Linked DNA regions of Oryctolagus cuniculus. The protein of the gene in region 1 interacts with the protein of each later gene in a pairwise test. Links are inferred from orthologs where the notes say so. Each region holds a gene or a part of one and is shown in the gene's direction. Other genes may lie near its edges.

Region 1 (3,976 bases):
GCCGCGGCTCACTAGGCTAATCCTCCACCTTGCGGCGCTGGCACACTGGGTTCTAGTCCCGGTCGGGGCACTGGATTCTGTCCCGGTTGCCCCTCTTCCAGGCCAGCTCTCTGCTGTGGCCTGGGAGTGCAGTGGAGGATGGCCCAAGTGCTTGGGCCCTGCACCCCATGGGAGACCAGGATAAGTACCTGGCTCCTGCCATCGGATCAGCGCGGTGCGCCGGCCGCAGCACACCGGCCGCGGCGGCCATTGGAGGGTGAACCAACGGCAAAAGGAAGACCTTTCTCTCTGTCTCTCTCTCTCACTGTCCACTCTGCCTGTTAAAAAAAAAAAAAAAAATACAAGTTTAAAAAATAGCATAACTGATCAAAAATGATGTGCAGGAAACACAGAGGAGGTAAGTTTCAGAAAATCAAAGATCCAATTCCAGGTCTTGATGACCAATTTATGTTTTTTTCTGCCAGGAACAACTTGCTCCCATCAGCAGTGCACAGCATTCTTCTATTGCTATACAGGGAGATGGCACACATGTGCACAGCACACACACTAAAAGCCATACACATCTCACTGTTCGCAAAAAGCAGGGCAATATTACCCATCACACTCACCATTTTTATGGCGGTAACACAAACAAATAAACGTTACTGAGTTGTAGTGCTCATTTTAAAAGTAGAAGAGGGGAGTCCATAGGCTCCAAACTTAAAGCAAAGATAAGGAAGTGGAAATGCTGAAGGGAGCTGTTTACACCATGTACATGTGTTGAAATATTGCGCCGTGCCCCATAAACAGGCACAGGTCTTACAGGTTAGCTTTCGAAAGTAGACACAAGGATCAGTGCACAGAATCAAACTCTGGGGCCATGTAGTTTTCCTCCTGGTGATGGGTTGTACCTGTCATTATTGCTTGGCTGAATTTTTTCTTTCTGTCAAAAGGACAATACTTTCTATGATGATTTTTTGAAATAAGAATTTTGTTCTACTGACCTGTGGAAATAGTGTAGGGCCTGATTTAGTAACCTAAAGTTAGCCCTCTTTTATGAGGCATGAAACTCTTCCTCCATAAATAAACAACACTAATGAAACGTTTGTATGGAAACTGGTACCGACAGGGTACAGAAAACATCTGGTGCCCCGGTAAATACCCAGGGCAGGGAAGTGCTATATAAAAGTCTCAGGAAGGAAGGAGACTTTTTGAGTCAAAGCAAAGGAGTTTTGCAGACACTCTCTGCTCATCACTTCAAGAATGACTTCCGAAGCTTCCCACACACACTGCTCTTCTGAGTCCTGTGCCAGAGCCTCTGGCTGTGCACCTGCTTCCGCCCACTCCCTGGAAAGGACTTGTCTCCCCAGTGACGGCTCTGCAGGCAGATGTCGGAGCCCCGGCTTCCTCTCCAGGTCTTGCTTGTCCACCCGTTGCCTCACGCCATGCTACTTGGTTGGGAGTTGTGACAGTCCATGCTTGGCAGGGAGCTGCGCGTGGTGTGAGGATGGGATGCTCAACAGCAACGAGAAAGAGACCATGCAGCTCCTGAATGACAGACTCGCCAGCTATCTGGAGAAGGTGCGCAGCCTGGAGGAGACCAACGCCGAGCTGGAGTGCAAGATCCGAGAACAGTGTCAAGAGAGTATCCCACTGCCGTGCCCTGACTGTCAGTGCTACTTCAACATCATTGAAGATCTCCAGCAAAAGGTTCCGTGTCTCGTCACCTTAATGTTCCACCTTCCTAATCTACGATTGGCTTTACCTTTACCTTAGAAGAGGCATTCTTGCGGAAAGAAACCAAAGGAAAGGCGAAATCTGTGAGTTCATGAGATATGAAAGAGAGGGCACAGGACTGAAGGTTAGGAGTCAGCAGCAGCCCCACAGCTGCCCCTGTTCACCAAGGGGCTATGATGGGGACAGGGGCTGGTGGTCTTCAGCTGTATCTCCTATAGAGTGTGTGTGTGGCACTTCCATATGCATCCCTGCACATTTATATCAATTTTTACACCAGAATTGAAATGCCATTGTTATATCATACAATTTCACCTAGAAATCATTTTCTTCTCTTACGGATGAATTTCTATTACTGTTGGTGGGGATACAGTTCTAATACAAACTACTGATGCAGAAGACCTGAACAGCATTCAACTGCCAAGCAATATTGGGAAATGTCCTGAGCCCTTTTCATGTCTGTGCTTTGATTCTAAGTTGGCACTGCCTTTTCTCTTCAGTAAGTCACAAAGTTAACAAGCAAGCAGGCTGAAAGCAGCTTGATTCTTTCTTACATCCCCTCACAGACAACTAATGGCAGAGCCATGAAGGGTACAGGTGTTCAGGTTTCTTTCCAAGAACCATTTACTTTACCTAATAACTTGCTTCTCAGATCTTGTGCACGAAAGCAGAGAATTCTAGACTTGCTGTACAGCTCGACAACTGCAAACTGGCTGCTGAGGACTTTCGGACAAAGTAAGTTTACCTGCAATTTGAATATAATTTGTGGTTTTCTTTCTGTGTCTCTTACACACAGACACACACACACAGAATATTCTCTATATAATTTTTTCAAGCTAAAATATTCTAAAAGCTCAAATTTGTAATTATTTCATACACAAAATAAACGACAGCATGCGGCTTCCTTGAGCCTGTGTGTCAATCCCCCAGTGCACCCAGCACTTACACGGTGTGTGGGAAAGCAGCATTGCATGTATCTCTCTTGCTGTGTAAGGTACGACAGTGAACTGTCCCTGCGTCAGCTGGTGGAGAATGACATCAGTGGCCTGCGTGGGATCCTGGGTGAGCTGACCCTGTGCAAATCTGATCTGGAAGCCCAAGTGGAGTCTCTGAAGGATGATCTCCTTTGCCTTAAGAAAAGCCATAAAGAGGTGAGAAAGAGGCAGCAACCCAGAAGGAGTCTAAGAGTGGAAACGTTACACTGGTAGAGTTCAAGTTGATGTGTGCAAACTGAACCTGGGAGAACGCTGCTGAAGCTGAACTAACACTCCTCGAGGCTCTACTGCGCTCAGCCTGACCACTCCACTGTGACGTCCACCTCAGATAGGGCATGAAGACGCCTCTGGTATCCAGACCAGTTTTAAATATCCCATTTCTATGAACTTTTTAAAATCATAAAATACGAAAGTGTTGATCTCGTTTTGATGAACCAGAAAATGAAGTGCAGAATCATGTAATAGATGTGTTTTCTCTTTGGGCATTTGTGGATGATGACAACAGTTCACATTTACTGAGAACATCCTCTTTGAAGCAACTTCCTAAATTCTTTATATGTATGCACATATTAACTCTTCCATATCTCACAATAATCCCCCAGAACAAAATAAAATTACTATGCCAATTTTGCAGAAGAAACTGGGCACTTGTAAGGGGGGGGAAAGAGAATTAGCCCAGGGCATCAGAATTAAAATCCTACACTTTTACTCAGTATTTCACAACTCGGGAATGGGATGCCACTGTGTGTCGGATGGATTTTGCCCTACTGCTCTGTGACATTCTTCACTCCCTTCCCACTTTCAGGAGGTCAACTTGCTCCGTGGCCAGCTCGGTGACCGACTCAGTGTGGAGCTGGACACCGCCCCCACCATCGACCTCAACGAGGTCCTGGATGAGATGCGCTGTCAGTATGAGACGTTGCTCGCCAACAACCGCAGAGACGTGGAGGAGTGGTTCGCTGCTCAGGTCAGGCCCGAAGCAACATGGGAGCAGGACTCCCCGCATGTGCCTCGGCAGGGTTCTCTAACCATGCCTGTGTTTCAGACAGAGGAGCTGAATCAGCAGCAGCTGTCCAGTGCAGAGCAGCTGCAGGGCTGCCAGACGGAGATGCTGGAGCTGAAACGCACAGCCAACACGCTGGAAATTGAACTTCAGGCACAGCAAAGCCTGGTGCGTATGGCAAAGAAGGTGTCCGCCTTGTCACTGATAAATCGGGCTCTGACAAACACCCTTTCCCACAACCCAAGGCAGAGATCCCCAGTTCGTG
Region 2 (4,230 bases), on another chromosome or scaffold:
AAAAATATATATTCAATGACTAATGTCATTTTGAGTTTTATTAATAAAAAAGTGTGGAAGTTTGTTTTCTCTCCTTATAAATAAGTACCCATATAATATCCTTGATTTTGCTTCTTAGCATACAAAGACTAAAAATATTTACTATCTGGACATTTACAGAAAATATTTGCCAACCTCTGATGTATAGCCTGATTTATAGTATTGTTACAATCAGTGGTCAGTTTTCTGAACCAATTTCAGTGTAGCTGTGAAGTATTTTGTAAATGTTAGGAATATCTACCATCAGTTGACTTTACTAAGTAAAGATTATCTTCACTAATGTGGAGAAAGCCTAATGCAATCAGTTGACATGCCTTAAGAGGAAAACTTGAGGTCTCTTGAAAAAAAAGAAAATTCCACTTGTTGACAACAGTTTCAGTTTCTGTTGCTGCAAATTTTCAGCCTGCCGTACTGCTTTGCAGACTTGCCTAGGTGGCTAAAATTGCATAATCGAATTCCTTGCAATAAGTCAATCTCTCGCTAGTTGACTGGTTCTGGTCCTCTGATGGAATTCTGCCTAGCCCAGTGGTTCTCTCTAAAAGACAACGCCTCGTTTGTGCTACTAGAGAATTATAAAAGAGAGAATTCAGGTAAAATCACTATTTTGTCATAGCTGCCAGCCTGCTGTGATACGGCGTCATCTGTCTTAAAGACTACAGAGTAAAGCAGAAAAGGGTAGTGAGAGTTAAGAAAGTTCAGAAAGGCTTAAATTTAATCTTATCATTGTGGATCAAAGAGACATTTGTGTTTCATTTGTTCCAAGAGCAAACACAAAATGCAAGAAATGTCTCCCTTAGCCTAACACAGAGGTCCCTTTTCCTGTCCACTACTACTAGCTCTTAGAGCACTGTTGATCTCTTGGCCTTGTCTGGAAATGGTGTGTTTGTCTATTTTCAGAGGAGAGTGTAGTGAACTTTCATCAGATTTTTCATTGGCTTTGTGTCACCAAAAGGGCCCACAAATCTACGAATTACCTCTTGTTGTCACCTGCTGTGTACGTTGCTTTCTCTAAGACCTAACAATCATCACAGGAAGTAGGTTCCAGTATCTCATTTTGTAGACTGAGAAGACTGAAGTTTCCATGAGTTGAGGAATTTGTCCCAGTCTTGATTTGAATCTCAGCCTGACACCAAATCTCACACTAAGGAGGTAGGGTGCGGGAGTGTCTCTCTGGTCTCTATGCTCAGGAGTCCAGAAAATTCTGCACTGATGTGGCCTGGATGGCTCCAGGTCTCTGCCAGGTTTCTGCCCCCTCGCCCCGGGAGGTGAGAGGCTGCGAGTGACCCCCAGGTTTTGCGGGGGACCGCTAACCCCCAGTCTTCTCTAGCGTCCCTCGCCTCCGGAAGGGGGAGGAAGGCGGGGAGCCCCGGGGAGAGGAGGGCGGGCCCAGCGAGGGAGTTTGAAAAGAGGAAGGAAGTGGGGCCCGGCACAGCGCCTCACAACCCCCTGTCAGCTTCCCCACAGGAGGACGCGAGGCCCGCAGGCCCCCGGCCCAGCCATGGGCCCCTGGCGCAAGACTGACAAGGAGCGGCACGGCGTGGGTAGGTGCGCGCGTGGGACCGCAGTCGGAGCCGGGCAGGTGCTGGAGGGTCGCGGGCGGCAAGATGCTGCGCCACCTGGGGCGCGGTCAATGCCTCGGTTACAGGGGCTGCATCAGGCTGCCTGAGGCCCGCGGGGCGGGAATGAGCAGCCGGGGAGGAGGTGGGCTTTCCAGCCCGCGGGCTGTGCCCTGCCGGCGCCCTCCTGCCCGCCCAGCTGCGCCCTCTCTGCCGGGCGCGTCGTCGCCTGCGACATGGGTCAAGCTGAGCGCCTGTGTGGCCGAGGGGTGGACTCCATGGCCCCCTCTGGTGAAGGCCTGGCTGTCCTGCTCTCCTGGCTGGTGAGGCCCAGCTTGCTTGCCTCCACCTCTCCTAAGCGACAGGATCTATCTGCCTCAGGCGGCCTGCTCCTCCTCCTTGGGCAGGTGGCCCCTGACTTGGCCAAGCATCCACAGAGCCTTGCAAGCCTGGGGCCGGCCGGCCGGGGGCTGGAGGGCGGGAAGGCGGGATGCTTCACTCAGCGCCCCAGGGCCTCGTCAGCGTCAGCCATCTAAGCTCCCAGAGGCCTCTGCCTCCAGCTCAGGCGCGCGGGCGGAAGTGGTAGCAGGTAGGGCGTCTCTGAGTGGCCTCTGTGGTGCAATCCCTGGTAAACTTCAGTGTGAGCTTAAAACTCATTCTGGAGATTGCTACACAGGCTGATAGCGGTCCCCACCCTGGAGATGGAAGATTCAACAAGTGAGGCACTGATGGGGCCACTCTAGCACCAAGAGTGATTGGGATGCAGGGGGTCCTGGTGATGAAGTGGTGTGGGGGACATTTGAAGATGAACAATTGGTAATCCTTATCCTTAATGGGGTCTCAGTGTCCCCATCTGTAAAATGGAAAGCTTCTCTGACGCTGGCCCTCCCAGCTGGGCTGTGAGGCTAGTAACATTCACAAAGGGAATATTACCGTTCAACAAGGCAGACCATGCAGGTGGAGGGACCAGAGTGGTCTAGCAGATGAGAGCTGAGTGGGGACAGAACAGCTGGTCACAAGTCTTGGCTGGAGGGGAGGGTGCCTTAAAGGAATGATTGAGCCCCAGTAAGGCGGAGGACTTCTGTGAATGCCAGGCTGGGGAGTTTTTTTTTGGTTTTGTTTGTTTTTGTTTGTTTTGTTTCATTTTGTACTTCCCCCATGTAAGCAGTAAGGAGCCATAAGAGAGTTTCTAAGAAGAGGAAAGGCATAAGCAGATATATGCTCAAGCCAGTATGGAGAGAGGCTGGGTGGACAGAGATCCCAGATGCCTGGGTGGCACGCAGGGGACAATGTTGGTGGTCCAGGGTAGCTAGGACAGTTAATTGGCGATTGAGAGCAGCGGGACAGAGTCCTACCCACTGCACAAGAGCTGTGTGCATGGCTGCTGTGTAGACCTTATAATGTGGTTATGAACACACGGGCTCTGTGGCATATTCTTAGATCCCAGCTTCTAACAGTTTCAAACCCCATGACATAAGGCAAGTCACTTACTCTTGCCATGCCTCAGTTTCCTTGTCTGTATAATGGGCATAATACAGCACCCACTTTTCAGGGATCTGGGAGGGCTAAATGAGTTGCAGCTACACAGAGCAATCTGTATGAAATGTTATCAGTTATTATTTTTTAGACATCCCTTTTGGGCCCAGTTGAGGACATGATGTCTCAGATGGAATGGGGCTACAGGAAGGAGTAAGCTTCTCACCCTCCCTAGCAGAGGCTACCCTGCCTCTGTGGCCTCAGCGATGGAGAACTATCAGGCTGCAGCCCAGAGACTTCTTGGACTTGTGGAGCTGATGTTTTCCATGCCTAGTTATGAACAATACTTTATGGGAGTGAAGGGTGTGCTGGTTGTGTGTGGAGGGAATCAGCACTGCCTGGCAGGTGCCTGTGCTTTAAAGAGATCTCTTCTCCACGCAGGTAACTTTTGGAAGCCACGGATGTTATCTCCTCCTCTGTAGGCTCTGTGTGGCTGGAAGGGAAAGGTGAGGCTTAGGTTGTCCTACAGGGGACTGGAGTCACACAACAGAAAGAAGAGAAAGTGGCTTGAGATTGTGAAGGCCAGGTTCCAGCTCTGATAGAATTACGATTTGCAGATTAATCTGTGCTCCGGTTTTCTTACTTTGAAGTCCAGCTACTAATGCTTCGCTATAGCAAAGCTTTCTTTTATGAAGATTATTTGAAGCAATGATTATGGGGTCTTGGAAGAAGACGAGGAGCTGACGCTGCATAAGGGATTGGAGTGGGGAGGACTTGGAGGTCTCTGGACACTTTCCTGTTCCCATTCCTCATCAGAGCATGTGGCAGCTCTTCTTCCTAAGGCCTGCTAGACAGGGCTGCTGGTGCTGGCGGGTCTGGAGGGCTGGGCTCACCAGTAGCTGCTTCATCACAGGTAATCGCCAGCTCCCTTGTTATCTTGCTGTCGGTGGGCAGCCAGGGTGAGACTCATGTAAACCCCTGGCCAGGTTACTAGAATTAGTCCAGTGCAATGCCTAATTCTTTGGGAACTTATAGTTTATCAGGAAGACAAAAAATAAGTAGATAAATCAGTAAACATATAAATTGTAACTGTGATATGTACAGATAGAGGAACTTTCTATGAATGAGGATATTGGAAGGAGTAAATTGGATGACTTGC
Region 3 (3,234 bases), on another chromosome or scaffold:
CTGCTGTCAGAGCGAGGCAGCCAGGCAGTCAGGCAGGGAACAGAGGAGGAAACTTACTTTCAGCAGTTACAGACCTTCAGAGAGCTCTGAGCGACAGCTGCTGGCTGGCGCGTGAGGAGGGCCAGGCTTCAGGGGCAGCGCTGACCGGGAGGGGCAGCCCCAGTAGTGGCCGCGGGAGCGCCTGCAGGACGGCCACGGGTGTGGCGGAGTGTGCAGGTCACCAGCGTTTCATTGCCCTTCTCATCTGTTTTTATTCCCCTAGGAAATTTCTGAAGCATCATTTGCGAGGAAAGAACTGTGAACTTTTGCTGGTGGTGCCAGAAGAGGTGGAAGCCCATCAGAGTTGGAGGGCAGACGTGTGACTCCCCAGCCAGCCCCGGCCCGGCCCCACCCCCAGTCCTGTGTGACAGCCCCGCCCTCCAGTCCTGTGACAGCCCCGCCCTCCAGTCCTCAGTCCCACCAGTCCTGGTGTAACCGTCTCACCCAGGCTCACCTTGGCCCCGCCTTTCGGTCCTGTGACAGCCCCTCCCTCCAGTCCTGTGTGACAGCCCCACCCGGCCCCACCCTCCAGTCCTCAGTCCCACCCGGCCCCGCCCCCCAGTCCTGTGTGACAGCCCCACCCTCCAGTCCTCAGTCCCACCCGGCCCCGCCCCCCAGTCCTGTGACAGCCCCGCCCTCCAGTCCTCAGTCCCACCTGGCCCCACCCCCCAGTCCTGGTGTAACCGTCTCACCCAGGCTCACCTTGGCCCCGCCTTCCGGTCCTGTGACAGCCCCTCCCTCCAGTCCTGTGTGACAGCCCCACCCGGCCCCACCCTCCAGTCCTCAGTCCCACCCGGCCCCGCCCCCCAGTCCTGTGTGACAGCCCCACCCTCCAGTCCTCAGTCCCACCCGGCCCCGCCCCCCAGTCCTGTGTGACAGCCCCACCCTCCAGTCCTCAGTCCCACCTGGCCCCGCCCTCCAGTCCTGGTGTAAAGGTCTCACCCAGGCTCACCTTGGCCCCGCCTTCCGGTCCTGTGACAGCCCCTCCCTCCAGTCCTGGTGTGACAGCCTCACCCGGCCCCACCCTCCAGTCCTCAGTCCCACCCGGCCCCTCCCCCCAGTCCTGTGTGACAGCCCCACCCTCCAGTCCTCAGTCCCACCTGTCCCCGCCCTCCAGTCCTGTGTGACAGCCCCACCCAGCCTCACCTTGGCCCCGCCCTCCAGTCCTCGGATGTGCTGTGGCCTCCACAGTGGGGCTGCCCTTGCCCCCCAAGCATCTCATGGGGTCCCTTCGGATTTGGCAGTGCAGTAGGACAGACGCGTGGCGCCGTGAGAGCCACCCAGCCTCCAGTGCTCCTGGAAGGCAAGGCGAGCAGGAAGAGGCACTCAGGCTCGCCCCGGCTCTGCTCAGGCGCCACCGCTCCAGACTCCGCCTCCGCCTCACCTCCCCTGTGGCACCCGCGGGTCTGAGGACGAGGGAACACAAAGCCGTGACCGGCTCGAAGGACCCAGAGCATGGGGTCTCTCAGGAAACGTCTCCAAACCCCAGCGGCCGCACCAGGCCGTCTCCCGCCCTTTGCCCCATTTTGAAGGGTCGTCCAGCTCGCCTCCGATCCTATCACGAGAAGGTCACGGAGACCCCACGCCCGCAGGGGAGGCCAGGCCCGAGGTGGCGGGGCCACGCCGGGAGCGGCATGGCACGGTGGCTGCTGCCCTGCACCCGCTTCTGTCCCTGCCATCCCGCCGCATGGACTCAGGAGGCTGTGGGGCCAGACAGTCCTCCCAGATGGCCCTTCTGGCAAAATCAGAAAAAATAAGTCTGCTTTTGGCATCAAACCCTACTAATTTGGGATGGAGTTGGGTGAAGGAAGAACACACGCAGTACGGCAGCCAGGATTGGTAGAAGCCGGAGCTGCCAGGGAGGCAGGGGCCTGGCGCTGGTGGTTCTGTGCGGCACAGGCCGCTGGCTGACCCGCCCCTACCTCCGGAAATAGCTGTAGGCCACTTTTCTCCCTCAACTTTGGAAAACAGGAGAGGAAGTAAGTGGACCCCCAGGGCGCCTGTGGTTGCCCAGAGGCAGCTCGGTCTCAGGAGGCCCGAGAGCGGCCGCTGGCACAGCCGGCGTGGGGCTCAGGCCGTGGCTCCCCCGAACTCGAGTGCATGTCCACACCAGCACTTTCTCTGCACGTGCGCCGTCTGGCCGTGTCCGATGCCGAGTGACAAGCCACAAGCAGCCGTCGCATTGTGCCCTCGGCCACTGCTGTGGTCCCATCCTCCAGCAGACCTGCTTGGCACCCAGGGAGCTCCTGCCCTGCACAACATTCCAGCCGCCGCAGCCAGAACCCCAGCCCACCCAGGCCCTGGGGTCCACTGGCGCCGGCGGCGATAGTAAGCCATTTCCTGGAGAGGAAACTCCTCTGCACGCCCTGCCCGGGCCTGTGTAGACGGCACCTCCCGGGAGCCCCGTGCATGCAGAGTCCACGCGCCGATGGGACATGCAGACGCTTTGACTTTAGGGCCGGTTTCTCTGCTCATGCCCGATTCTGGTGCTTAGGAACAGGGACCCAGGCTGACGCCCAAGGGCAGGAAGCCCACTTCCTGCAGGGGAGGGAGGCCCGGCCCTGATGCCCAGTGAGGGGCACCCCTAGGCTGGTTTTGCTTTTGTTCCCCTTTTTTGTTGGCCTTGTGCTGGGTTTGTTTACAGAAGATGTATTTTGTTTAACCAAATATTAAAAATGGAAAACTCTGTACATAACTCTTACCTGCCTGAACTGTTCAGAAAAAGCCTTAGTATGATGCCACTGCAGGGGAATCGTCCTCTGAGGAGGCTAGCAACACCACGCTGCCCTCACCTGCAGATCCAGGCACTACTCATCTGAACACTGCGAAGCGCCCTGAGGCACTCTGCAGCTCCCGGGGAGCTCACAAACGGTGGGCCTCCCGGTTTGAAGGCCCCGCCTGCCCAGCACAGCTTGTACCAGACGGGATCCTGCATCAGCACACCCAGACCACACAGCAGGGTCGTCAGACGGCCTAGGTGGGCGTCCAGCTGCTGTCTAAATCTGGAACCATACTGCCTTGCAGATTGTGCAGTGTCCCAGTAAACAACCCACTGAAGGCTTAGGAAGGGTATCACCATGGTGTTCATTGGTGGTGTGCCTGGTCTCAGCATTAAAAAAATGCAAAGTGGGTGTCTGGCCTGGGTTAGGACCCTGGTCAGGCGGCGGGCATTGGTGGAGTGCAGCAGCACTGGAG
Region 4 (3,500 bases), on another chromosome or scaffold:
ACTCTCATCGTCCCTGGGCCTGCACGGGCAGATTCGGAGATTCTGGGGAAACTCCTTCTTGCTATGGGCTTGGGTGAGCCGGGACATGATGCAGGGTTTGCATTATTCCTGCTGGAGATACTAGCCTGTCTGCCTCTTGTTCTCTCATCCTTTCTTGCCTCTTCCCCTCTTCTCTCTCTCAGTCTCCTGCATCGGCCCAGGAAACCTACCCTGCCCCGCCACGCAGAGCACAGACGGAAGGGGAGCCTCATGCCTGAGCCGAGGGCAGCGCCATGGATCTGACGAAGATGGGCATGATCCAGCTGCAGAACCCCAGCCACCCCACGGGGCTGCTGTGCAAGGCCAACCAGATGCGGCTGGCTGGGACGCTGTGCGATGTTGTCATCATGGTGGACAGCCAGGAGTTCCACGCCCACCGGACGGTGCTGGCCTGCACCAGCAAGATGTTTGAGATCCTCTTCCACCGCAACAGCCAGCACTATACTCTGGACTTCCTCTCGCCAAAGACCTTCCAGCAGATTCTGGAGTATGCCTACACGGCCACGCTGCAGGCCAAGGCGGAGGACCTGGACGACCTGCTCTATGCGGCCGAGATCCTGGAGATCGAGTACCTGGAGGAGCAGTGCCTGAAGATCTTGGAGACCATCCAGGCCTCAGATGACAACGACACGGAGGCCACGATGGCTGACGGCGGGGCTGAGGAGGAAGAGGACCGCAAGGCTCGGTGCCTCAAGAACATCTTCATCTCGAAGCATTCCAGCGAGGAGAGTGGGTACGCCAGTGTGGCTGGACAGAGCCTCGCTGGGCCCCTGGTGGACCAGAGCCCTTCCGTCTCCACCTCGTTTGGGCTTTCAGCCATGAGTCCCACCAAAGCTGCCGTGGACAGTCTGATGACCATAGGACAGTCTCTCCTGCAGGGGACGCTTCAGCCACCTGCGGGACCCGAGGAGCCGACATTGGCTGGGGGTGGCCGGCACCCTGGCGTGGCCGAGGTGAAGACGGAGATGATGCAGGTAGACGAGGTACCTGGCCAGGACAGCCCTGGGCCAGTCGAATCCAGTGTCTCGGGAGGACTGGGGGACAAAGTTGAGGAAAGGAGCAAAGAGGGCCCTGGGACCCCAACTCGCAGCAGCGTCATCACCAGTGCCAGGGAGCTGCACTACGGGCGGGAGGAGAGCGCCGAGCAGCTGCCACCCCCGGCTGAGGCTGGCCAAGGCCCCCCGGGCCGCCTGGAGCACCCAGCAGCCCCTGCGGAGAAGCGCCTGGGCATCTACTCGGTGTTGCCCAACCACAAGGCTGACGCCGTGTTGAGCATGCCGGCGTCGGTGACCTCTGGGCTCCATGTGCAGCCTGCGCTGGCCGTCTCCATGGACTTCAGCACCTACGGGGGTCTGCTGCCCCAGGGCTTCATTCAGAGGGAGCTTTTCAGCAAGCTGGGCGAGCTGGCGGTGGGCATGAAGTCGGAGAGCCGGAGCATGGGCGAGCAGTGTAGCGTGTGTGGGGTCGAGCTCCCTGACAACGAGGCTGTGGAGCAGCACAGGTAGGCCCTGGTGCAGTCTCGCACCTGCTGCTGGACGTGCAGCCCTCACAGCTTGCCTTCCACCCTGGCTGCTTCCAGGGCTGGGGGCCTAGCTCCCTTCTCTTCCTTGCTATTTATATATATTTTTTAAAAAACATACTTCTTCCAAAGTCCTGGGGGGATGGGGCATACCATTCACAGCGTGGTGAGGGGTCAGGTGGTCTTCCCAAAGCATCAGGGAACTCACAGGCCCAGGGTGTGACTAGGCCCTTCTATCTGTTTTTGCTTTTGGGGTCCCATTTGTTTCTTCTGTAGCCTGGTCCATCCTCTTGGACCTGCAGTGATGGACAGGGGTGGCGGGAAGGTGTGGTTCAGGCTGAGGCCCCCTGTGGCCTGGATCTGGTTACCAGGTTCAGGTACTGGGTTCCTCTCCTAAAATGGCAGCCTGGTGCTGTCTGCAGCATGGGAGGGGCCAGAAGCTGCAGAGGCCGCAGGAGTAGCCGCTGCAGGTGCCGTGTGTCGTTCTCAGGAATGTGCATCCTGACATTCCTTGTCCCTTCTTATTTTCTCTTCCTGCAGTCACATTTGGGGGGGGGTTGATTTAAATTCTGGGTGGGTATAAAAGTCTGGGCCTTGCCACCTGTGAAGTGTTAACTCCTGTCCCAGCTGTGCTCACCCAGAGTTAAATGCTGCCGGCATTGGCTTTCCTTGGGCTTCTGCTTGCTTCTCTCTGAAGTAACCATTCGCAGAGCTGTTAGGACAGGCTCGGTTTGCGACAGAGCACGTCAGGTAAAGCTGCAGTTTTGTCCCACTAGCCCTGTAGGTAGGCAGGGCTCTTCTTTTGCAAGGCGAGATGCTAAGACTCGGACGTAAAGTCCACTTTGCAGGGTTACGTCGATAGAGGCAGGGCTGGATTTGAAGTCAGGTCCTCAGCCCCTTGTGCTTTGCTGAATCTTGGAGTCATCCAGTCTTGAAGCAGATCCTGCCTACGGAACAGGCTTTTGAGGATTGCTCCTGAGAAGTGGAGTAACTCGGGAGAAGGTTTTCGTGATGAGTCATGTGCCTGTCATCTTACCCTCCAGTCCCTGGGTCCCAGGACGGGGGTAAGAAGCCTAGTTTCTGTTGCCCCCACGGCTCACCTCTCCATGCTGTGTGGCTGGTCTTGCGTGGACCCTGCTCACTGCCCCCCTCCCCATGCCTCTGTGCTGCTTCAGGTGCGGGGGTGCGAAGTGAGGGTGGTGGTGGGGCTTCTGGGAGCTGAGCCGCTTGCCCTCCCCAGAACCTGCTTGGATGCTATGAGACTCTCCTGGGTGGAAAATAGTACTGCTGACCTAAATGCAGCCCCCCTCCCCCTTTTTTTTCCCTGGTGGGCGTGAAGAAACTGCCACTGAGGTGTGTCTTCCTTGCATGGGTACCGCTCGGAAGCAGACTGAGGCTGGGTTGGTTGGAGCTCACACTTTTTCCTCTGCAGGAAACCCCTCCTGGACTTGACCACATAGGGTAGTTGGCCTCTCCGGGGCGGATTCTGGCAGCCGTGTGCTGAGAAGTGGGTGATGATGGAACGTCAGGTTTTCCCCCAGCTCTTGTTGCATCTCAGTTTCTTTCCTACTCCCGAGACGGACACAAAAGACGTCACTCCCCTCTGGTGGGGCCCTCGCTCCTCCCAGGGGAGGTGGAGGGGTGACTGCTGTTCCTTTCCAGAGAGCCTGGGTGGCGGAGTTAGCCGCGTCAGGTGGTGAGAGCTTGTGACCCTGACCGTTCTCAGCATGCCGAGCCTGGTGTTACTCTTGGCTAAAAATGGAGCTGGTCATCAGGGTTGGTGCTGAATGGATGAAGCGAGACACAGAAACCTCTGGGGCTGGACTGGCTCACGGTCACGGCGAAGGTGAACAGAGCCCTTCAGTCCCTTCACCTTGTTTGGGTCTTGTTTCTGCAGCATCCTCCGTGGCTCTGAGTTCAGGAGCTGCCTTCCAAGGGGTCA
Region 5 (2,743 bases), on another chromosome or scaffold:
CTTCTCCTCCCGCACAGCCGGCCCCCCAGACCCTCCCCGGGCCGCCCGGCCGAGCTCAGCTGCCCCTGCCTCCCGCGGGGTCCCCCGGCTCCCACCTGTGTGCGGGGACTTCCTCTTGGACTATTCCCCCGACCGGGGCCTGCCCCGCGGTGGCGGCGGAGCAGGCTGGGGGGAGCTGCTGCCTGCAGCTGAGGTCCCAGGACCCCTCTCCCGTCGGGATGGGCTCCTGGCCATGCTGCCCGGCCCACCACCTGTGTATGCAGCTGACGGCAGCAGCCCCCTCCTCCGCAGCAAGGACCCCCACACCCGTGCTACCCGCACCAAGCCCTGTGGCCTGGCCCCAGAGGCTGCTGAGGGTCCGGAGGTCCATCCCAACCCTCTGCTGTGGATGCCCCCACCCACCCGTATCCCACCTGCCGGCGAGCGCAGTGGCCACAAGAATCTCGCCCTGGAGGGGCTGCGGGACTGGTACATCCGGAACTCGGGATTGGCTGCGGGGCCCCAGCGCCGGCCTGTGCCCCCCCACATGGGCCCACCACACCCGTCCTTCCTCCACGCCCGATGCTATGAGGTGGGCCAGGCGCTGTACGGGGCTCCCAGCCAGCCACCTCTCCCACACTCGAGGAGTTTCACGGCGCCCCCTGTCTCTGGCAGGTATGGAGGGTGCTTTTACTGACGGGTTCGGGGTCTCTTGAGGCGGATGGTAAGGTTACCCAGGCCAGGGAGCAGCCAGGCATGAGAGCTAATGACTTAGACCACAGGGAAACTAGCGGCAGCCTTGGCACAGGGGCACCGTACCGGGCACAACCTGCATTAGTACTTGGGGTCCTGGTGGAGGCAGAGCTTGGGCTTTGGTAGCAGCAGGTCTTCCGCGAGCTGTAGAAGAGTAGGTTTTCGCTAGTCTGGTCAGGTGAAGATAAGCCTTGAAGCCAGGGTGCTGAGAGGAAGGGGCATCCCGTGCCTTCATCTTTTTCTTCGTCTTCTCTGTGCCCCGTGCTTGGGAGCCTGGAGGTACTGTCCTGTGCCTGCCTCCACCTCTTTAACGAACCTCTTCCTCTCTCTTTCTGTGTCTTGTCTGTCTTTTCCTCTCTTCTCTACCTGTCTTCCGGATTCCTGCTACCCCTTCCAAAGATACTACGCGGACTTCCTGTACCCCCCGGAGCTGAGCGCTCGTTTAAGTGACCTGACGCTAGAGGGGGAGCAGTCCTCCAGTTCTGACCCCCAGACCCCGGGGACGCTGGTCTGACCCCTTCTGATACATCTCACGTTGGCCTGGGCATGACTCCAGTCTGGGGAGCACACAGCTGACCTCGCTGAGCCCTGAGATGTGGCTGCTCTCAGTCTTGGGCAGGGTGGGGTGGGGGGCGGGGAGGGCACCCAGCTGGTCTTCCAATGCCCCTCCCTGGCTCCGCGTGGGCCCAGGAAGGTGTCTGACACCCTGGTTCTCCTCTCACACTGTGCTGGGGACTGGGGGACCCTAGCCAGCTTAAAGGAGATGGGAGTGATGTCGTGGGGATTCCACGCCCCCTCCTCCATTTCTGTTTACAGTTGTGATTTAGGTATTCACTGTCTTCCCCTTGCCCCCCACCCTGCACTAGGCATTTTATAAAAGGGAAACTGTGATCTTGTCCTGGTTGGGTTCATTCCTGTCCCCATGCCCAGCCTGTTCCATTCAGGAACCCCCTCCACCAAATGGACCATGTAGGGTCTCAAGCCCCTGTTTGGGGCAGCCAGGAGATTCTGGTGTGCACAGAACTCCCTGCCACTCCCCACCAGGGCAGTTTTGGGGGAGTTGGGCTCTGCCTACACTTGGAAGGATTGAAGTCTCTGGGTGTGGTCCCTGAAGGAGGCTGCATCCCTGCCTGTGCCCTGGGCCTCTGCCCTGACCATTCCAATCAGGAGGCCCCAAAGGAGGAGCAAGGGGCAGAGCCCTCGGGGGTGTTGTGTCCTGGGATGCTGCTGTGGTTGAACCTGGCGTCGGAAGATGCCAGTAAAATCCTCAGGTGACGTCTGGCTATGGGCCACAGGCCACGTCACATCTTTCTTGGCTTTCCTTCCACTCACTTTTTAAACAAATCACACAAGCTGTGTTTTCTATGATACCTGTCTGTGATTAACTGGAGTTGGGGGTTCCCCTCCCCCCTTTACCTGGTATTAAAACTTTTCTTTTTGTACAAATGGATCTGGGCCCAAGACACTACCCACACTGGAAGGGGATTTCTACAATAAATGTGTAAACCGAATCCATGTGCTCCTCCTCTGCCTTGTTTTGTAGGCCACACCTTTAATTAAGCCTGGAAAATAGGGGCCAGCATGGTGGCGTGGCAGGTAAAGCCCCTGACTGCAGTGCTGGCATCCCATACAGGCACCGGTTCAAGTCCTGGATGCTCCACTTCTTCTTCTTCTTCTTCTTCTTTTTTTTTTTTTTTTTTGACAGGCAGAGTTAGAGAGACAGAGAAAGGTCTTCCTTCCGTTGGTTCACCCCCCAAATGGCTGCTACTGGCTGGTGCGCTGTGCCGATCCGAAGCCAGGAGCCAGGTGCTTCCTCCTGGTCTTCCATGTGGGTGCAGGGCCCAAGCACTTGGGCCATCCTCCACTGTCATCCTGGGCCACAGCAGAGAGCTGGACTGGAAAAGGAGCAACTGGGATAGAATCCGGCGCCCCAACCGGGACTAGAACCCGGGGTGCCGGCGCTGCAGGAAGAGGATTAGCCAAGTGAGCCTTGGTGCTGGCCTGGCTGCTC
Region 6 (3,990 bases), about 28 Mb from region 1:
CCCTTGTTCAGCATGGTGCCTGAGCGTGGGCAGGCGGGGCGGCGGAGGCCGAGCCTGTGCACACCTCAGTAGGACCTGGGGAATACATGGGAGAAAGAACGTGGGGTGGGGAGGAGGAGGATCGTGGGAGAGAGCAGGTGAGTCAGCTAGGGCGTGCTGGCCTTCCCGGCCTGGGGCACCAGGAGGGTGGGGCCTGAGTGTTGGGTGAGAGGCCCAGGCTGGGGGGGGGGGGGGGACAGCGCAGCGTGAGGGTCAGGCACAGGGACCCGGCTCCAGAGGGATGGCGTTCGGCTCAGGGAGTGAAACATGGGCCCCTCCCCCACCTCTCTGTGCCTCAGTTTCCTCCTCCCTCTGCAGGGAGGCCAGGTGAGGGCCCGAGGCTTCTGTGCTGCAGGCGAGTTAGGCACTGTGCTCACCGTGGGCGGTGGTCGCTGCTGAGACCACCGGAAATGAGGCAGAGGCCTGAAGACAGTGCTTGGAGGAGGCGGGGCGCGGGGGGGGGGGCAATCTGCAGCACCCACAGGGAGCCAGCGGCGGGCAGTGATGCTTTGAGGTCTCCTAGGGACGGGCTGGTAATGGGGAGAGCTTTACAGATGGCGGGAGTCTGAGCTTGTGTGGATGCGAGGGGAGGGGTCGGGGTCTCCCGACTTAGGATGGCGAGGCCGGGGCAGGGGGCATGAGCAGGAAGGCAATGGGGGTGGGGGGCGGCAGGAGGGCAGGGGCAGGAGGACAGGTAGGCAGGGCAGAGGGGCAGGTGTGCTCCCGTCTGTCCCCGCTCCCAGGTTGTTTGATGGGGAGTGTGGAGCCTGTCTCAGGAGGGAGGGGTCTGCACCCGCATTCCCCAGCTCTTTAGAACAAAATCGCTGAGCGAGAAAGAACAGGCCACACCCCCTGGCAGGAGGGGCAGGGTCCCTGGAAGACCAGGGATGCTGCAGGCTGAGTGCCCTCCCAGTGCCCGGGACCCCAGGGGTCGCAAACGCCTGAGCCCCTTACAGGCTCTAGGAAGGGGGCTCGGGCGTGAGGCATGGACCGCGCGCCGCTGCCTGGGGCCGAGCACACGGGATGGGGCTGCGGACCCGGCAAAGGCGTGGGCAGGCGGGGCGGCGGAGGCCGAGCCAGGCGGGGGTCTCGAGCGATGAACAGGAGCTGGATTTGCAGCCGTGGGGGAAGGCGACCAATCGGAGGCCCGGAGCCGTGGCCAAGGCAGTATCTCGGAACCAATCATCTCTGAGGACAGGCCCGGGGCGGGGCCGCGCGGAGTTTGAAATCCGCAGCGGTGGGCGAGAGACCCGCTGTACTCGGATCGGATCGGCGCCTGGGGTGATCGCAGGTCGGGCCCCGGGGGGGCTGCTGTTCGGGATGGGGGAGGGGTCTGCCCAGGCCGGACACGGACGTGGGGAGCATCCAAGGGAAATCGGGCTGTCCGGGGGGCGGCCGCGGTGTAGGTGGGAGCGCGCCGGGTCAGGGCCGCGTTTTGAGACCCGTAGAGCCCCTGCCTGTCTTCGGCTCGAGGCCTCGGGCCCAGGGACGCCGGGGCCGAAAGGACAGCCCATGGAGAGAATCCAGGCCCAGGCGGCGGGAGTCCGCGGACTTCCCCTTGCGGGAAACACCCCCCTTTCCAGCACCCACAGCTACGAGGGCCCCACCCCACAGGCCTCCATCCTGTCTCCCTCCCCGGGCCTAGGAGCCCTGCGGAGCCTGGAAGGGGGCCAGCGATGCCCGCTGACCTGCCCTCGGCCCTCCTCCCCAGGGCGCGGTGAACAGAGGCGGCACAGCCAGCAGATGGCCTGTCGGTGGTCGGTGCGCCGGAGATCGCTGCTGGAGGAGGAGCAGCCGGAGGAGGAAACCACCACGCCGGCCGCAGCCGGCCAGCAGGATGCGTCCGCGGGGGCCCTGGGCTCCCTACGCAGACAGTTCCAAAGAAGGCTGCCCCTGAGAGCGGTCAGCCTCAACCTTGGGGCGGGCCCTTCATGGAAACGCCTGGGAACTCCGGAACCAGAGCAGCAAGGCCTCCAGGCGGCAGCTCGATCAGCCAAGAGCGCCCTGGGGGCCATGTCTCAGGTAACAGTGGCTGTGCTGTCCAGCTCCATGGACCCTCAGTGCTGGATAGAGCCCACCTCCAGGAGCCCCTGGAGAGTCTAGACTCCACCTGACAGGGACTTTGCACCTCTAAGAATTGCTAGCATAGAGTGGGCATTCAACAAATAGCTGAATGGTGCGGAGAAACGGAGGGAACAGGTGCTCATGATACAAGGGGTGAGAGCCATGTGTCAGCCAGTAGGGATGGTGAGGGGACGGCCAGTGAAGCCCCCCCCAACCCCCCCAGCAGGTGGCTCCATGGAGAATCAATGGGAAAAGGCAAGCACAGCTGGAATGGTGTGAATCCCACCGAGACCCAGGGACGGGGGTGTGGGCAAGGATTGTGTCTGGGTGTGGCCAGAGGAAGGGGGGGCTCTGATGTGTGTGGACCCCCAGGAGCAACCAGAAGAGGGAAGGATTCCAGACGGACGGGAAGTCTGCTCAGCTTAGTGTCGGGAACTTTCTCTTGAGCTGCCTGATGAAAAGGGTGGTGGGGCAGACACACCCGCGGGAGCCTGGGATCCTGGGTGCTGGACTCGCCCAAGGGAGAGCCGCTAACTTCAGGAGCTCCTCGGAAGGTAGACCCCCAAGAACCCGGTGTCAGATGAGACGGGCTGGCACCACGTCATGACGTACACTGGTGTGAGGTGCCCAAGGGCCTTCCGCCTGGAGCTGGGAGCATTCCGAGATGTCCCGAGGAGGGAAGGAGCCAGGGCAGCCATTTGGCCCCGTGATTAGGCTGCATCCCGTATCCAAGGGCCCAGGTTCAAGTCCTGACTCCCGATTGCAGCATCCCACTAAGGCAGACCCAGGGAGGCAGCCGGTGAGACCTCAGATGGTTGAGTCCCTGCCGCCCACATGGGAGACTGGGATGGAATTCCTGGCTCCTGACTTTGGCCCCTGGCCATTAAGGGCATCTCGGGAGTGAACCAGCAGGTAGGGCTCCATCTGTCTCTTTTTGCCTCTCCAATTACAACAGAAGAAAGGACAGAGCCATGGTAGCAGCCAGCCGTAGGAGGAGAGGGCTGGATGCCCCACTGGGCGCTCTGAAGGTGTGGGGAGAGGGCTGCTCCTTCAAGCCCTCCACAGACAGCTCTCTGGGCCCAGCCCATTAGTAAGAACCCTGAAATTGTTCCCACTGCCCCGGGCACAGGAGAGGTAGAGGGAGGTATCTTATCCAAGGCCACATGACATGGAATTTAGCTTGGGGCATGCACCAGCCCTCCCGCCTCTGGCATGCCACGGCATTCAAGGTCTTCACAGCCATCACCCACTGCCGTGATAGGCCTGAGAGTTCGGGCTTGTTCCTCTGAGCAATAAGGAGCCACAGGAGGGTTTCGAGGGGCCAAGCGTCCCGGGCAGAGCTGCCCTTTGGGCCAGCATGGAGGACAGATGGGAGTGGACAAGCGAGAGCAAAGGCAGGGAGACAGGTTTCCTCAAGAGGATGTGGGCTTAGACAACTGGAGTTCTATGAGCCAGGGCAATCCTCCCGTGATCGACCCCTGGGGGTGTGTCTTGGGTGGGGGAGCTCCATTTCCCATCCCTCAGGCTCGAGACTGAAAGCAGCCTGCAAGTACGGGACAAGTGGGAGGCCAAGGCTTGGAGGGAAGGCCGGGAGTGGCAGGTGACGCACCTGGGTTTCACGCATGCTCACCTTGCCTTGTAACTGTCACAGAGGATCCAGGAGTCCTGCCAGAGTGGCACCAAGTGGCTGGTGGAGACGCAGGTGAAAGCCAGGAGGAGGAGGAGAGGGGCGCAGACGGGTGATGGCTCCCCCCCGCACACCCTGAGCCAGAAGAGCACCCGGCTGTCGAGCACCACCCACCCAGCGCTGGGCTCCCGGGAGCGGGGGTATCGCCGCCTCTCGGCCCAGACAGGCCCCCGTGCCCACCTGCTGCGGCGGCCAAGGAG
Region 7 (4,037 bases), on another chromosome or scaffold:
TGACAGAGGAGCTGGGGGAATTCACTGTGTGCCCACTGTGTGCTGTGCCCCATGTGACAGGACCTGGGGGGACTCACTGCGTGCCCACTGTGTGCTGTACCTATGTGACGGGAGCTGGGGGAGCTCACTGTGTGCCCACTGTGTGCTGTGCCCCATGTGACAGGAGCTGGGAGAGCTCACTGCAGTGCCCACTGTGTGCTGTGCCCCATGTGACAGGAGCTGGGGGAATTCACTGTGTGCCCACTGTGTGCTGTCCCTATATGACAGGAGCTGGGGGAGCTCACTGCGTGCCCACTGTGTGCTGAGCCCCATGTGACAGGAGCTGGGGGAGCTCACTGTGTGCCCACTGTGTGCTGAGCCCCATGTGAGAGGACCTGGAGGAGCTGGCAGCAGTGCCTACTGTGTGCTGTCCCCATGTGACAGGAGCTGCGGGAGCTCACAGCAGTGCCCACTGTGTGCTGAGCCCCATGTGAGAGGACCTGGAGGAGCTGGCAGCAGTGCCTACTGTGTGCTGTCCCTATGTGACAGGAGCTGGGGGAGCTCACTGCGTGCCCACTGTGTGCTGAGCCCCATGTGAGAGGACCTGGAGGAGCTGGCAGCAGTGCCTACTGTGTGCTGTCCCTATGTGACAGGAGCTGGGGGAGCTCACTGCGTGCCCACTGTGTGCTGAGCCCCATGTGACAGGAGCTGAGGGAGCTCACTGTGTGCCCACTGTGTGCTGTCCCCATGTGAGAGGAGCTGGGGAAGCTCACTGCGTGCCCACTGTGTGCTGAGCCCCATGTGAGAGAGGAGCTGGGGGAGCTCACTGCGTGCCCACTGTGTGCTGTCCCCATGTGAGAGGACCTGGAGGAGCTGGCAGCAGTGCCTACTGTGTGCTGAGCCCCATGTGACAGGAGCTGCGGGAGCTCACTGCATGCCCACTGTGTGCTGTCCCCATGTGACAGGAGCTGGGGGAATTCACTGTGTGCCCACTGTGTGCTGAGCCCCATGTGACAGGACCTGGGGGAGCTCACTGTGTGCCCACTGTGTGCTGTCCCCATGTGACAGGAGCTGGGGGAGCTCACTGCGTGCCCACTGTGTGCTGTCCCTATGTGAGAGAGGAGCTGGGGGAATTCACTGCGTGCCCACTGTGTGCTGAGCCCCATGTGACAGGAGCTGGGAGAGCTCACTGCGTGCCCACTGTGTGCTGTGCCCCATGTGACAGGAGCTGGGGAAGCTCACTGCGTGCCCACTGTGTGCTGAGCCCCATGTGAGAGAGGAGCTGGGGGAGCTCACTGCGTGCCCACTGTGTGCTGAGCCCCATGTGAGAGGACCTGGAGGAGCTGGCAGCAGTGCCCACTGTGTGCTGTGCCCCATGTGACAGGAGCTGGGGGACTCACTGCGTGCCCACTGTGTGCTGAGCCCCGCCCCGTCTGTGAGCCCAGCTGGGAAAGGTGTGCTCCCTCTGTCACTCTTCATCCCGGGTCAGCCAGCCTGGTGGTGCTGCGTGCTGTGGCCAGGCCTGTGCGAGCCCCGGCCCTCTCGCTCTTTAAAGGCCGTGTCGTCAGTGCCGTGACGCTCCCCAGGAAGCTGCCCATGTTTGGCTCCCAGAGCCAATGATATCATCACAATAGGTGGCTCCTGTCTAAATAGGGATCATTTGTGAAATGAGATTAGCGACTTGATCTGGCAGGCAGGAGGCGGAGGCACCTGCTCCGGGTAATTGATGTCCCGGGGGACAGCACTGCGCCACCGTTCAGACGCCCCTGTCCATGGCTAATTCCATCAGGAGCCAGGCGCCTGCCTGTTGTGCTGCGAGCCAGGCCGCCCCCACATCCACATGGAGCCAACTCCAGATCCGTGTTTTCTATCACGCTTGAATATATGGGACATGCATCGCATCCTGTGCCTGCCGCGCTGCAGTGTGCCTGCTTTGCAGAGCCCCGTGGCGGCCTCGGCCAGGCTGTGACTGACCGGAGCCCTGGACACACGCTGAGTCTCCTGGCCTGCTCCACGGCGGCAGCGGTGCTGGCGCTTCCCTGGGGTGCCCGGTGCCCTGTCTGCCGGGAGCCTGCCGCTCTGCGTCTGGACGCTGCGGGCGGTGAGTCCGGATGAGTCATTCCTCACTTTTCCCATCTCGGGTGGGCACTTGCCCAGCAGGGTGGCCTCGGCTGGAGGGGTGGCGAGCGGATGGGCGCCCAGCAGCCCCAGGCTCCAGGCGGCATGTCTCCCTGCCTTCCCGCCAGCCATGGTCTACGCTGCTCCTGGGAGTGAAGCGCTCCTCTCTGGACAGGCAGCGGCAGCAGCCAGGGGCTGGCGTGACTGCAGCTGGGAGCCTGTCAGTTGCCATGGAGGGTTTGGGGGACGGTCTCGCGCGGCCGCCCAGGACTGCAGCGCTGTCATTCTCAGAAGACAAGTTCAGTCTCCAGTTCTCCGTGATTCGGATGGCCACGGAATGCCAGAGCACTTTGTAATGCAGGACCTGCTCTGGCTGGCTGGCCTCTGTCTGTCGTAGCCAGGGTGCAGCTGCTGGTCTGCTGCCCAGCTCCCTGGGGAGCGAGTAAACCCAGGGCCCTGCAGCTGTTAAGACGGGTGCTTGATCTGCAGACTCTGGGGGCAGAAGCCTGCGGGGAAGGTGCCTCTGTGAGCCCAGTGCAGTCGGGTACTCGGGCCTCACAGCAGCTGCAGGAAGCAGGATCAAAGGAAGGGGGTGTTTGAGGAGACGCAGGGAAGAGCTGCCCTGTGTTTGGCTTTGAAAGCGAAAGCCGTTTCCGAAGCACGCGATCCCAGCGTTTAGTGCTGACCGAGCAGCGGCCGCTGCCTTGTGGGAGCAGGCGGTGTGCGAGTGTCCTCGGGGCTGTGCGGCTCCAGACGAGGCGTGCTTCTGCGAGCACAGGCTTGGGGCGTCACAGCGGGGAAGCCTGAGCAAGTGCCCTGCACCTGCTCCTCTGGGGGAAGATTCCGGTTGGGCTTTGCGAGCGTTTCCCCGGCTTTCTCGCCTTGCTGTGCTGTTTTGTCTTGTGTCTCTCTCAGTGGCCCTGCCGCGTCCAGCCCTTCCTGATGAGACTGGGTGTCTGTGAAGAGGGCCGTTGCCCACCCAGGCGTCCAGGTCACTGCTCGCTCTGAAAGTTCTTGTTGAGAACAGCCAGAATACCTAGCACGGAGACTGCACCAATCAGGAGCTGTCACCACTGTGTCCACCTCTGGGGGGTGGGGGGACACGGTTTCATTCACAGTTTTCCTGCAGCCCTCAGGTGCAGCTGCACGCCTGGTGTGGGGCGGAGATGCTGTGACCTTACGCTTGTTCGCAGAATAGAACAAGTCAGGGTTCTTTCCCCCACTTTGTGATTCATGCTTCTTATTTAGCAACAAGTCCTGCCTCGCGCAGAATCATTCATCACTAATGCCACTCAGCTGAGAGGCCTCCACGCACAGGGTGCCAAGGTCCTCAGAACAGCCTGGAGGTCAGCCTTTGGAGCTCACCTGGGGCCGCTGTGCCTGCGGAATGCTGGCGTCAGGGTCTGACAGGTGCCTGCCCGGGGGCAGGCGTCACTGCACCTCGGCCCGGTCTGCGGGGCTCACTCAGTAACACGTGTTTGCATGGGATGAATGTAACTTTTCAATCAGATCTGTCCATTCAGTTGTCATCAAAGGCAAAGCGCATAACTAGAGGCCAGGTTGGGGGCAGTGGCGGTGTCCACGCTGGGCACCATGCAGCCTGCGCATGGATCTGCAAGTGTGGCACTCACACACCTTCACGGTCACACGGGCGCTATGCCAGGACCTGTGGCTCTGAGGGCAGACCAGCCCCACTCTCAACATCCATCACTTTAAACCCACAGTCTCTGCTTTCCAAGGGTTGTCACTCGTGAATAAACCCCGCTGAGTCTGCAGCTTCTCTCTCCAGGGAGTCACCTTTGACCCCAGCAAGGGAAGCCCACGCTCTGCCCAGGCAGGCTGGCTGAGCTCCAGACACATGGGAGCTGCACTTTGCCGTTCCGTGTGGTGTGGTCACTGCTGCCGTGTGCCGTGACGGCAAGAGTGCCTCTCAGGACAAG

Evidence for each region.
Region 2: the proteins of KRT40 (region 1) and DOCK2 interact in binary tests that used the Homo sapiens proteins (3 or more experiments, as listed by UniProt). The two-hybrid records come from large-scale screens. The link is inferred for Oryctolagus cuniculus from reciprocal best matches to the Homo sapiens genes KRT40 and DOCK2.
Region 3: the proteins of KRT40 (region 1) and JOSD1 interact in binary tests that used the Homo sapiens proteins (3 or more experiments, as listed by UniProt). The two-hybrid records come from large-scale screens. The link is inferred for Oryctolagus cuniculus from reciprocal best matches to the Homo sapiens genes KRT40 and JOSD1.
Region 4: the proteins of KRT40 (region 1) and ZBTB16 interact in binary tests that used the Homo sapiens proteins (3 or more experiments, as listed by UniProt). The two-hybrid records come from large-scale screens. The link is inferred for Oryctolagus cuniculus from reciprocal best matches to the Homo sapiens genes KRT40 and ZBTB16.
Region 5: the proteins of KRT40 (region 1) and CCDC120 interact in binary tests that used the Homo sapiens proteins (3 or more experiments, as listed by UniProt). The link is inferred for Oryctolagus cuniculus from reciprocal best matches to the Homo sapiens genes KRT40 and CCDC120.
Region 6: the proteins of KRT40 (region 1) and PIMREG interact in binary tests that used the Homo sapiens proteins (3 or more experiments, as listed by UniProt). The two-hybrid records come from large-scale screens. The link is inferred for Oryctolagus cuniculus from reciprocal best matches to the Homo sapiens genes KRT40 and PIMREG.
Region 7: the proteins of KRT40 (region 1) and DLGAP2 interact in a two-hybrid assay, tested with the Homo sapiens proteins (2 studies listed by BioGRID). The link is inferred for Oryctolagus cuniculus from reciprocal best matches to the Homo sapiens genes KRT40 and DLGAP2.

The regions. Positions count from the first base shown.
Region 1 is NC_091448.1:21,607,952-21,611,927, forward strand, and holds the start of KRT40 (keratin, type I cytoskeletal 40), read left to right. Parts: upstream 1-1,176; 5' UTR 1,177-1,242; coding exon 1,243-1,689; intron 1,690-2,365; coding exon 2,366-2,448; intron 2,449-2,707; coding exon 2,708-2,864; intron 2,865-3,513; coding exon 3,514-3,675; intron 3,676-3,753; coding exon 3,754-3,879; intron 3,880-3,976. UniProt on the Homo sapiens protein: May play a role in late hair differentiation.
Region 2 is NC_091437.1:56,569,429-56,573,658, forward strand, and holds the start of DOCK2 (dedicator of cytokinesis protein 2), read left to right. Parts: upstream 1-1,430; 5' UTR 1,431-1,537; coding exon 1,538-1,580; exon of another isoform or gene 1,581-1,584; intron 1,585-4,230. UniProt on the Homo sapiens protein: Involved in cytoskeletal rearrangements required for lymphocyte migration in response of chemokines. Activates RAC1 and RAC2, but not CDC42, by functioning as a guanine nucleotide exchange factor (GEF), which exchanges bound GDP for free GTP.
Region 3 is NC_091442.1:115,289,247-115,292,480, reverse strand, and holds the end of JOSD1 (josephin-1), read left to right. Parts: intron 1-262; coding exon 263-362; 3' UTR 363-2,734; downstream 2,735-3,234.
Region 4 is NC_091432.1:105,955,740-105,959,239, forward strand, and holds part of ZBTB16 (zinc finger and BTB domain-containing protein 16), read left to right. Parts: intron 1-182; 5' UTR 183-272; coding exon 273-1,540; intron 1,541-3,500. UniProt on the Homo sapiens protein: Acts as a transcriptional repressor. Transcriptional repression may be mediated through recruitment of histone deacetylases to target promoters. May play a role in myeloid maturation and in the development and/or maintenance of other differentiated tissues.
Region 5 is NC_091453.1:34,214,785-34,217,527, forward strand, and holds the end of CCDC120 (coiled-coil domain-containing protein 120), read left to right. Parts: coding exon 1-654; intron 655-1,131; coding exon 1,132-1,246; 3' UTR 1,247-2,243; downstream 2,244-2,743. UniProt on the Homo sapiens protein: Centriolar protein required for centriole subdistal appendage assembly and microtubule anchoring in interphase cells. Together with CCDC68, cooperate with subdistal appendage components ODF2, NIN and CEP170 for hierarchical subdistal appendage assembly.
Region 6 is NC_091448.1:50,103,201-50,107,190, reverse strand, and holds the start of PIMREG (protein PIMREG), read left to right. Parts: upstream 1-1,190; 5' UTR 1,191-1,330; intron 1,331-1,750; 5' UTR 1,751-1,782; coding exon 1,783-2,061; intron 2,062-3,754; coding exon 3,755-3,990. UniProt on the Homo sapiens protein: During mitosis, may play a role in the control of metaphase-to-anaphase transition.
Region 7 is NC_091439.1:118,473,480-118,477,516, reverse strand, and holds the start of DLGAP2 (disks large-associated protein 2), read left to right. Parts: upstream 1-1,237; 5' UTR 1,238-1,863; coding exon 1,864-2,080; intron 2,081-4,037.